Rattus norvegicus: one gene and its partners. The protein of the gene in region 1 purifies or fractionates together with the protein of each later gene. This does not show direct contact. Links are inferred from orthologs where the notes say so. Each region holds a gene or a part of one and is shown on either strand. Other genes may lie near its edges. The genes, in order: Dtl, Cul4a and Cops5.

Region 1 (3,649 bases):
AGTATGGAGCCATGCCCCCATAAGCAATTTCTAAATCTAGATTAAGTTCCCTTTCTCTTTTCCACTCCTTTCTTCTCAAACTAGAATAAGAGTTTTTTTCTGCTGAAATGTCTTATCTGTCTGAGAGGCTCCCTATCCCATCATCTTTATCCCTTCCTTTATTCTATTTTGCAAAAGGAAGGCATTTTCATGTCCCCGTCTTACACCTTGCATTGTCTATCTCAGGATAGACAAACTGCTGCACGTCCAGAACAGGTCAAGCGTGTGAGGATTGGCAGTGCCCTAGGTGTGAGTTCCAGCACTTGCAGCTGCTGGTTTATTACTTCCTTGGTCAGTCAGCAATTGCTTCTTGAATGAGTGTTTCTCTACTGAGGCTGAGCATGTTAATCTAAAAAATCTGAAGGGTTTTGAGTGTTAATATGATATTCAAAAGCCTCAGGACACCCAACCAGAAAAATGTAAGCAAGTTGAAAGCATTCTTGGTTTCAAGTGTTTTGAATAAGAACATTCAACCTTTATCATTTAAATGAGCCAACCTACATGTTCATGCTAACCAGAGTTTAGATGATGACTTATTTAGAAGCATTATGCACATTAGAAAGTTGGCTTTATTTCTGAATGAAATGAAAATTTACTTTGAGTTGTTCTCTAAATCCTCATTCCTTAGAGGCAAGGACAGACCACTTTTGAGTCATATCTCAGATACTGTGACTGGGTTCCTGTTAGAATTTTAGGATCCTAGAATTTCAGCACTTTTAGGAAAAAGGCAGTTAAATTACCAGTCGATACAGTAACCCTTTGAATGCTGATTGTGTTATGATTGCTGTCTCCTTGATTATCATTTGACACTCCCAAAACAAAAGCAAACTTTGCCTGGAAGGGAGGAACAGTTTAATTGGTGATGCTTTAGTGGCTGTGTCTTTGCTAAAAGAGTCAGATCTCCTTGCACTGGTGCTGATCATAATACACTAATTTTCTACATTTTAGATGTAAGACAGAGCTGGATGTGGTAGAACATGCCTTTAATCCTCCCAGCACTTGGGACTCTGAATTCAAGGCTACTCTGATCTATGCCATAGTAAGTTCAAGGCCAACCAAAGCTCTACATAATAAGCCAAAGAAAATTTTAGATAAACCCAAATGCCCTCGGAGTGTTTTGATTTCTTACTTAAAATGGCTTAAGAAAATAGCAGAAATGTCTGGGCAGTAGTGGCATGTCCCTTTAATCTCAACACTTGGTCTCTAAATTCAAGGCCAGCCTGGTCTACAACATGAGTTCCAGGTCAGCCAAGGCTGTTATACAGAGAAACCTTATGTAAAAAAAAAAAAAAAAAGAATGAATGAATGAATGAATGAATGAAAAGAGAAGAAAAGAAAACACCAGAAATGGTATTCTGGAGCACCATAGATCGTGAGTAGATCTGTTACACATGTAAAGTTCTATATGAATAATACTCAGCCAGGTATGGTAGCTCATACCTTTCATCCCCATCACTTGGGAGGCAGAAGCAGAATCATTGCCTCCATGCCTCAAAAAGACAAACGAGACTAAGGATATTTATCTTTAGATTTGTGGGAAATGCTAAAACATGATGTTGCCTTTTAATTCTTAAAGGGATTGTCCTGTTGTAGGGTGGTCTTCACATTATCCTCTGCAATCTCTCCTAAGTGGTTATCGGTGCAGCTGTAACGATGAGCACACATCTTACGGAGAAACGGGAGTCCCAGTTCCTCCTTTTGGATGCACCTTCTGTACTGGTAAGGAAAGGACTAAAAACACTAAGCTTGAACAGAAAGAATATTGCTTCATACTTAGAGGGAAAATAGACTTTGAAAGAAGAGTAACTTAGGTAGATGTTAAAATTATTCTCATAACTGATTTATAAGGTACAGAGATGTTTTTTAAATGAAGGGTTTTTTCCTAGCAATCATTTAAAAAATGTGAATAGAAATTCTTGTCTCCAGTCTAATGTTTAATTGAGGAAAGGTCATGAAAAGGAAGTTTAAAACCAATAGATTGTATTCTCTGGTGGTCTGCATCCTGATTTTATTTACCATTGGCCAGTACCACTCTTGATTTAGTCAAGTAAGAGTATCTGAAGATTATTTTGATGGTTAGAGTCAGGGTTTTTTTTTATTATTTTTATATTATGTGTATGGGTGTTTTGCTTGTGTATATATATGTTTATGAACCACAGAGGCCAGAAGAGGGCCTTAGATCCCTAGGAACTACTGTTGCAGACAATTGTGAACTGCCATGTGGATGCTGGGAATCAAACCCCAGTTTTCTGTTAGAGCAATAAATACTTTTGACATAAGCCATCTCTTAGCCCTGTTGTGAGTCATTTGGTACCTTTGTACTCATCTTGAAAGTCCTTATATATTCTTTGTTTCTCTTTAGCTCCCAGTATGGAGCATATATTAGCAGTTGCTAATGAAGAAGGCTTTGTCAGATTATATAATACAGAATCACAAACTAGCAAAAAGACATGCTTCAAGGGTAAGTCTGTAATTTTTAGCATTTTTAATTCATAAAGCTTTTGGTAAGTTACTGTTGTAATACAAGGATGCTGGTCAGCTTGAGTGGAATAAGGTAGATATTCATGTACATGGTAAGAACAGTGAGGGATACACGCCTGCACAGAGCTAGCAAGCAGGGCCTTAAATGCCAAACTAAAGTCAGACTAACATTTATTACCTTGGTAGGACTTTGTGAAGATCCTATTTTAGAGAATGCTTCTAATGCTATGAAAATGCTTTTATTTCTTTGGGGGAGGGGGACTTTGGGAAAGTGCGTGGACACGAGTGTGGGGGTCAGAAGTTGTTAGATGTCCTCCGTACAGCAAGTGCTTTACCCACTGAGTCCCCTCTCTCCCTCGTTTGACTTTAGATGATAGCTCTTGCAGGTGTCTTGGAGGGGCTGTGTGACATTTGTGACACCATAATGCTCTTTGGCCTCTTAACAGTAGAGTACTAGTTACCATCTTATAATGAAAACTTCCAACATGTCTTAGTTACGGATTCATTGCTGTGAACAGACACCGTGACCACAGCAACTCTTATAAAGAGAAACATTTAATTGGGGTGGGCTTACTGTTTAGAGGGTCAGTCCATTATCTGCATGGCTACTTGCAGGCAGGCATGGTGCAGGTGCAGGTGCTGGAGGAGCTGAGAGTTCTACATCTTGATCCACAGTCAGCAGGAGACCGCTGCATTAGGCACAGAGTATAGTAGACCTCAAAGCCCGCCCCCACAGTGACACACTTTCTCCAACAAGGCCACACCTACTCTAACAAGACCATGACTCCTAATAGTGCCACTCCCTTTGGTCCAAGTACACACATTCCTATTTAAGCTACCATAAAAGTTGTTTTTAAACTTCTACTGTATGACTATCATAGAACACACTCTGGATTTGTCATATTTCTTTGTTTAGAGTGGATGGCTCACTGGAATGCTGTCTTTGACCTGGCGTGGGTCCCTGGTGAACTTAAACTTGTAAGTGACTTCCATTTTATTAGGTCTGAGTAGATGCTGATAAAGGGTTTCTTTCTTTTAATTTTACTATATTATTTTTGGAAGGTTACAGCAGCCGGTGATCAGACAGCCAAATTTTGGGATGTAAAAGCTGGTGAGCTAATGGGAACAT
Region 2 (3,649 bases), on another chromosome or scaffold:
TTTGCTTCTGAAGACCTGAGTCTGAACCATTCAGGACATACTCCTGTGACTTACGTACTTGAATTTTGTCCTTTCGTCACCCTAGTACACATCAGAGGAAGACTCAGAGTGGAGCTCCACCTGAGAGCAAACTCCTCAGAGTGGCCTAGCTTCCAGGGAGAGGTCAGCTCTGGGCTGGAGTGTACAACAGAGCCGGAAGGTTCACCCCTGTCAGGCATATTAGTGAAGGAGGGAGCAGTGTGGGTCTGTGGAAAACCAAGTAACAGGATTGGCTAAAATGACATGGGAAAGCCCAGGGTGTGGTGAACAGGTCAGTATTGCTAGGACCACTTTGAAGAAGTCACGTACTAGTAGAGCATAAATTCAATACAAAAGCAGAGACTATAGCCTCTCTGACTTGTCTGTCCCACCAGAACCTGCCCTGGTCTAGCAGCCTCCTGCTCAGCTCTCACAGGTGTGTGTTTAGCTCTTACCTCAACCTTGAGTGCTAAGGTTGGGTTTGGAAGATGGTGACAGGTGCATGTCTCCTGAGAAGTTTCTGAGTTTCCTGTTGCCTGGATTTGAGTCCTGATTTCATTTTGTATTCTTACTTATTTCTCTCACTAGGCATCTAGAGGGGCCCAGTATCCCAGCCTCACTCTGAGTAGGGGGTAGTGCGGGGAGGCAGCAAGTTTGTATGGAAATAGTACCCCCAGGCCATCCTTAACACAGACAGTGCCACCAATCCTGGACTGCCATTGTGCATTACCGTCTTCTCATTTGAGTCCAGGGTCACCTTGGGTCCCACCTGTCATACCATATGTCTCTGTAGTGGCTGACTTCAGTTGTAACTAAGTACATGAGGAAGATTCATGTTAGTAGGTATGACAGCGATAGTGTGTCACAGCTAGGAAAAGTAGTTAGGACTGCTGACTCCAACTCAGGAAGCAGCACTCAGAAAACGCTCATATTAGGGGACTGGTGGTGCACACCCTTAATCCCAGTACTGGGGAGGCAGAGGCAGAAGGATCTCTGAGTTTGAGGCTAGCCTGGTCTATATAGCAAGTTCCAGGACAGTCAGAGCTACATAGTAAGACTCCGTCTCAAGAAGGAGAGAGAGAAAACTGTTGCACAAATGCTTTCTTGTGAAGGACGGCATACCAGCCACACAAACTGGACTTCTACAGAAAAGCACACAAGCATGGACGTGTATATAAAATCACTTTTTTTTCTGTACTTGTAAACATGGGCTGACTTATGCTGAGCTTCTGAGGCAGAGCTGACAGATAAGACGGGAAGGTACTTCGAGGAAAAGAGCTAAGGAAAGTCTCTCTGTTCCCTCTCCTCGTTAGAGATCATTTCTTTTTACACTTCTCACGTGAATAAGAGTCTGACATGTATATGAGATTTGAGAGAGGTTTAATATGAGTGATGAGATTATATTCTTTCAGTGGGTAGAAATAATTTTTTTCCTGTAGGCTGTTTAAAGTTGCCTTTTTGCTGGCTGGTGGGTGGTGCTCATCTTTAATGCCTGCACTTAGGAGGCAGAGACAGGCAGAGCTTTGAGTCTGAGGCCAGCCTGGTCTACAGAGTGAGTTCCAGGACAGCCAACGCTGAGAAACTCTGTCTCAAAAAAACAAACAAAAGTTGCCTTTTCTTCATCAAGACAAAATAAATGCATTCTACATCAACAATCAGTAAAAACACAGGGAGCGGAGCAGCCTGGCCTGTCACTCAGGAATCACAGGTCTAACACTCACACAGCTGGGCGCTCCCTCCTGCCACTGCCCAGGTTCACATGGCCATTTTTAGGATATATGTGTGCCCCATTTCAACCTAGAGAGTCAAAAAATGGCCACATGACCCAAACTAACCTCACAGCCCTGGTCTGTGCAGCCTGACAGGGCAACTCCTGAACCAGGGCAAAGCTTCACACCTGAGGTGCCAGCCCCCAAGGAACAGTGGGTGCAGGGTATGTCAGTCTGAGCCCCTCACTGCTGGCACTGCTGGCCATTGCCATCAGTGTGGGTGGCACAAGTGCCCTGACCACCCGAGAGGGCTGTACTGCAGGTAAACGCAGGGCTTTCCAAGAGCTCTGACGCGCGCTGAACAACCACCCTCTCCTTTGTTGTAGGCTGTTGAGAATCTGTGCTCTCACAAAGTCTCCCCCACGCTCTACAAGCAGCTGCGGCAGGTCTGTGAAGACCATGTCCAGGCCCAGATCCTCCCCTTCAGAGAATATCCTTTTCTTGCTTTGCTTTTTGTGCCTCATTTATGACACAAAGCTTTTAAAACTAGGATAAAGAACTGATGAATATCCTCAGTGTAAAATAATGGGTTTTAACTCTTTTTTTATAGAACAAGGGGCCTTTTGTTTCATAACTCATTATAATGGTTTTTTTAAAAGTGAAATTTGTCACATTTAAATAGTTGATATGAGTACTGCATCTAATTGGAACATTCAGGGGAGTTTTTAAAAATGTCTTAAAGTTTAAGTTCTGTTCTTTAATTAAAAATCACCTTATTTTTTATGATATGTGACAAATCCCCACAAATATGGCTGTCATACCCAGCTTATTTTCTTGGGGTGTGCCTGTCAGGAATCAGGATACAGCCCCTTGCTTTCTGTCTCGGTGTCACAGGCCCAATCGGTGTGACAGGGAGGAGTCTCATCTAACGGGGCGTGGGGGGGGAGCTGTAGGAACAAGGTCCTGCTTACCATCTGGCCATAGTGGATCTGGCGTAACCCTGAGGACTGCCCCTCCGGTCCTTGCTGCATCCACTTTCTCCTGGTGGATCGTGCACTCTGGGCAGGCAGGAGAACCTGCCTGTCCGGCCTGAGACTTCCTCCAGGGACAGGACAGACAGAGGCGGGCTGGCTGTGTCTCCCATTAGGAAGGGAACAGTCGGCCTGTACTGCACACAGGGCTGCGCAGAGGCCATCTTAGGTTTGCTGCCGTGTCACCTGTCACTCATGCCCACGAGTACGTCTGTCCGACCTGGCCTCGGGCCAGTTTTAAGCGCACAAACTCTGTTGTGTGTAAAATCCATGTTGACTTCTTTGGCTCCATGCATTCATGTCTAAAATAAATTCCAGAACCTTTGTATTCAAGATTTTCTCCTGATTCAGGAAGTCTTTTTCCCCCTCCTGGGGACACTTGACCCTGCCAGCTGTGCAGACCCTGTTCATTAAACACAGCAAGCAAGTGTGGCTGGACACCGAGCCTCTGGGAGGTCTACTACACAGCTTCAGTCAAGATGCCTCTTGTGTTCTCCGTCAGCATTTTGAACCAACGACTGCAAGATTAGACAAGAACGTGGTGACCAGATCCCTGGAGAACTTGCTCACATGCATCTCCTCTCAGGACAGAGCTGTGAGGCGCATGGAGCTTCTGCCCCATCGGAGCCCTGGAGGAGACTGACCCTAGGCTGAGAGTGGTCAGCAGATGCCACCTAGGACATGGCACCCAGCACTGTTTTGCTCTAACCCCACTTTGCTGCAAACGGCTTTTTTACTTACTTTAATTATCCTCCTGCCAGTTAATCCTAGTCTGGGGGTTGACCTAAGTGTTCACACACTCAGCAAACCTTCATCTCCTACCCAGCGTCTTGCTCCCTGGGTTATAGAAAAGGGGCTGCACCTGATCGCCGTCCTCCAAGGGATCACAAC
Region 3 (4,334 bases), on another chromosome or scaffold:
GGCAGGTGTCACCACGCTCCAATTTTCTTCAACTTCTGAATCCAAAATCAAAACCAACAGTAGTGGTGAATAGTTAGCAATTCTTTTTTAGCTAATTTGTCTGCTAAAAACCTGCATTAGAAGAGGATACAGCCCGGCAAGGGTGGTACATGCCTTTAATCCCAGCACTCAAGAGGCAGAAGCAGGCAGATCTCTCGAGGCCAGCCTGGTCTACATATCGAGTTCCTGAACAGCAAAAGACCTTCCATGGCCGGGGGAGAGGGGGTGAGAAAAAAAAAAAAAAAAAGGATACAACACAAAGCTTACTGGGAAAAAGCAAAACGTCCGTGTGAAGCAACTATAGAGCCTTCGAGATCCTGTGGAAGGAGCAGTTATTGTCAAAGAGTTAATGGAAGGCATCTCGACTGTGCTTTTTAAATACTGTGTGCTCTAAAGCAGAAATGTCAAGAAGTGCATTTAAAGCAATGCTTAACAACTACTGCATTACTAAATCAAGGAAAAAGTTCTAATTAAAAAGCTGGGTCAGGGTGGCTAAAAGATGATGAAGCTGGAGAAGTCTGTAAGAACCGTGTTACGAAAATAATTAAATATATTAGAATTAAATAAAACAAACAGATTTTATGCACGCCTTCAACTTACACTCTAGTGGGCATTTGGGGATGAGAATGAGAGGGAAGAAAACCTAAAAACACGACTGAAACAAATTTCATATTAACTACCGGAAAGAACGGATTGCGGAGATTAATTCTGCACTGAGACAAACCTTTTTTAACAAGTAGCGGGTAAGGCATTCACATCTCCTAACACTTGTATAAATGTTACCCTATAAACGCGTCAAAAGTTAATCTTAGCAACCGGTGAGTTTTGCTTGCCACCTCGCAACAGTAGCGAAAACACAAAAGCGAAACGCCACCCACAAACCCCGGAGGGGTTTATACTCCGCGAATTATCTTAAAAGACAATGTCACATAATCTTCCCCCTCCAAAACCAATAATCCGGAGATACTTACACCTCTGTTTCTCTAGAGACATTTAGTATTCCAAACAATTTATTTCGTTTGAAGCACCTACACTCACATAAACATAGTTCCCCAAACCGAAGTTCCCTCCCACACGCAATATGGCGGAATCTGAGTCTGCGCAGTGCGAGGCGAGACGGCCGACTCCTTCCTGGCAGGTCAACAGGCCCGCCTTCCGGCGCGAAAGGCCGTACCATTCCCACACAGAGACTTTGCGTCCCTCCCAGTTCACACGTACGGATTTCAGAGCCAGCATGTCCTCGTTTCGTTCGCAAAACTATTATTAGCCGAGCCGAGCGGACCCCTAGGAAGTGTTTTCTATGTCGCTACGCCGCCGCCGCGCCCCGACGCGCGAATGGTCTGGACCAACGTCACCTCCGGTCTCAAGTGTCATGGCTGCCTTGAGAGTCTAGTGAGTGTGCACCCGTGGTGGGGAAGGTGCAAAGCCCGCACGCTGAGGCCCAGTAGAATAAAGTTGCATCTTGGTTGTGGAGACTACAGCTTCTCCGGTCCCTCGGCCATGACAGCTTCCGGGAGTGGTATGGCCCAGAAGACCTGGGAATTGGCCAACAACATGCAGGAAGCGCAGAGTATCGATGAAATCTACAAATATGACAAAAAACAACAACAAGAAATCCTGGCGGCGAAACCCTGGACTAAGGAGTGAGGAGGTCCCTGGCGAGACGCAGGGGAGGGAAGGGATGGAGGGACTGTGAGAGAGACCCTCGAGGGGTGGAAAATGAAGTGGGTGGAGAATTTGGCTTTCTGAGGGGCGTCGACAGAATACTGGCCGCCGTGGTTTTATTCTACCTTATCAGTAGAGACTTCGATTCCCCTTATTTCTAGGGCCTGCTTCGATACCCCTTTTAGAAAGTTTCTTACCTCCAGGGGGTGTAAAGGGATGACTTAGGGTGCTACTTTCTCAAAATGATTATTTTCGTAAATTTCACACATTCTCCCCTGAACCTGGTGGCTGGCTACATGCAGTTGGTTGCAGCCTTCAGTGGATCTCAAACTGAAGAGCGTGACTGTTTTCAGAAATCGAATGAGCAGGGCATTGATCTAAAAAACAAAAATGAGCCCTTGGGGTGATTTCTTTTTTATCACTCTTTTCCTCTGTAACTTTTTTAAAGACATACCAAATCCTCTTACCAGTTCTCTAAAATACTACTGCAACAATTCAGGATTTATAAAATAGAGCTTAGAGGCTATTTGCCCCCCAGCCAAATCCATGTATCTTTGGGGCCCACGACAAGTCAAAAGATTCTTTAGAGCAAATCATGTTAAGGAGAGTGAAGAAAAACATTGCAAAAGGTTGCTATGTAAACTGCCTTGCTGTTTCCAGGTGTTTTGTTTTGTTGGCAAAGCTGGTTTTAGCTGTCAGGATTCTATTTTCAGGGTTTTTTGAGTTACTACTGTGGGCCTGGCACTGGTCTGATGATTTTTATGTCATTTAATAATCAGGGCAATCCAGTACTGTACTTTCTTTCCCTTTCTGTAAATAGGAAAATAAGCAAATACATTCATGATTATACTATAGCAGTGAACTTAGGTGCAGTAGACTGAGAATCAAGTCTCATAACTGTCACTTAAACGGTTGACTGGCATTAGAAAAGTAAAGTATCTAAACTTATCTATAAGATAATGGTTAAACATAGCTATTACGAATATCATGAATTTATTAAAAAGATAATTTATTAAAAAGTTCTGGAAGAACCATATATAATAAGAGCATAGTAGTGGTTTGTTTTTCTCTTTTTCCCAAGTAGGTGGAGGAGCCAATTTTTAAATTTATGTCTTGATTTCCAAGATGATCTCAGCCACTTTCAGCTTGTGGTTGAAATCTAGCAAAAGCTGGGATCTGTACTTGGTTGCTTGCATCCAACAAGCCGTGGTGACACTGAGTGACCTGTGCAGATTTCTTGGCTGTCCCTTAAGCAAGCTGCACGTTTTAGATGGATGTAAACTCTTGACTTCCTCACCATCTGTGGCTATACTTAAGTTTATTCTAACATGCAGGATACAGCCGTGATTTTAAAATGTTCAAGAGTTTAATCATGTACAATAGTTAGTCACAGAAGTAAGGATACTAGCTCTACTCTAATTCCCAAGATGCTATCAGAAGGAAGCCATAAGCTAACAAGCTGTTTCTTTGAGAATATCTTAAAAAGCGGGTTAATAGTTCGATCCCCAGCTCCGAAAAAAAGAACCAAAAAAAAAAAAAAAAGCGGGTTAATAAGACTGGTAGCAGTACCTTAGATTTTAGTGTTTCTGGGACTAAGCTAAGCATTTACGGTGTACTTTTCATACTAATAGATGAAATATCTATTTATAGATATGTGATCTGGCATAGACATTAAGTGGCCCTACTCTCTCAGTTAGGGGGTGTCAGTGTAATTTAGAGACCTAAGCAAGTCAGTTTCAGAAGCCACATTTGTAGAAACTAAGTCCTCTGGCTCAGTGGGTAAGAGTACTTAGTTTTGCATGCAGACCTAAGGTTTAAATCCAGCATCTATGTAAAAATCCATGTGTGAATATGCTACCTTTTAGCATTATATGGAAAGAAAGCAGAGAGGACGGTCTGTGAGCTAGTCAGCCAGCCTAGCCACAACAGTAAGCTTTCAGTAAGAGACTCTGTCTCGAGGGAATGAAGTAATAACAGACGAAAATGAGCTGGGCATGTTGACACCTGAATTTAATCACAGCAGAGGTGGGTGATCAAGTTCCAAGGACAGCCTGGTCTACTGAACAGCCAGGGTTATACCAAAAACCTGGTCTCAACGAAACCAAAAAAAAAAGGTAGTGAAAGACCCCTGACAGCCTCTGTCATCTCCACAGGTGGCACACTAATAAACATGTACCACAGATAATAAATAAATAAATTATTTAATTAATAACTCAGTAAATTAAGGTCAGAAAGTTAGGCCTAAGAAGGTAACCAGGTATAATAATTCCATGTTGATTGAGGAAAAAGACCTGTGGAGTTGATCATTATTCCCTCATTTCAATAGTATATTTAAAATTTATTTCAGACTCTTTATGTCTGAGCCAAAGACACATGACATGGTATTTCCAGGCACCTTGTACTTACTGCTTTCTTTTTCCTCCACGTTCCACACTCCCTTTCAATCCCTATAAATCCCTTCAGAATGTATTTATTCTCACAGAAACTGTTCTGAAATTGCACGTTAAGTAAGGCTCTCGGTCACAGTGTGATTTTTGTTTTGTAGTCACCACTACTTTAAATACTGCAAAATCTCTGCGTTGGCACTGCTGAAAATGGTGATGCATGCCAGGTCAGGAGGCAACCTGGAG

Evidence for each region.
Region 2: the proteins of Dtl (region 1) and Cul4a purify together in Homo sapiens (affinity purification with western blotting; 15 studies listed by BioGRID and IntAct, with this or other methods). This does not show direct contact. The link is inferred for Rattus norvegicus from reciprocal best matches to the Homo sapiens genes DTL and CUL4A.
Region 3: the proteins of Dtl (region 1) and Cops5 purify together in Homo sapiens (affinity purification with mass spectrometry; 6 studies listed by BioGRID and IntAct, with this or other methods). This does not show direct contact. The link is inferred for Rattus norvegicus from reciprocal best matches to the Homo sapiens genes DTL and COPS5.

The regions. Positions count from the first base shown.
Region 1 is NC_086031.1:105,679,385-105,683,033, reverse strand, and holds part of Dtl (denticleless protein homolog), read left to right. Parts: exon of another isoform or gene 1-1,078; intron 1,079-1,632; coding exon 1,633-1,758; intron 1,759-2,401; coding exon 2,402-2,500; intron 2,501-3,436; coding exon 3,437-3,498; intron 3,499-3,582; coding exon 3,583-3,649. UniProt on the Homo sapiens protein: Substrate-specific adapter of a DCX (DDB1-CUL4-X-box) E3 ubiquitin-protein ligase complex required for cell cycle control, DNA damage response and translesion DNA synthesis.
Region 2 is NC_086034.1:83,114,314-83,117,962, reverse strand, and holds part of Cul4a (cullin-4A), read left to right. Parts: intron 1-2,113; coding exon 2,114-2,217; coding exon of another isoform or gene 2,218-2,218; intron 2,219-3,649. UniProt on the Homo sapiens protein: Core component of multiple cullin-RING-based E3 ubiquitin-protein ligase complexes which mediate the ubiquitination of target proteins. As a scaffold protein may contribute to catalysis through positioning of the substrate and the ubiquitin-conjugating enzyme.
Region 3 is NC_086023.1:13,973,907-13,978,240, forward strand, and holds the start of Cops5 (COP9 signalosome complex subunit 5), read left to right. Parts: upstream 1-1,431; 5' UTR 1,432-1,539; coding exon 1,540-1,682; intron 1,683-4,249; coding exon 4,250-4,334. Other genes in the region: Cspp1 (centrosome and spindle pole-associated protein 1), read right to left, coding at 1,011-1,216. UniProt on the Homo sapiens protein: Probable protease subunit of the COP9 signalosome complex (CSN), a complex involved in various cellular and developmental processes.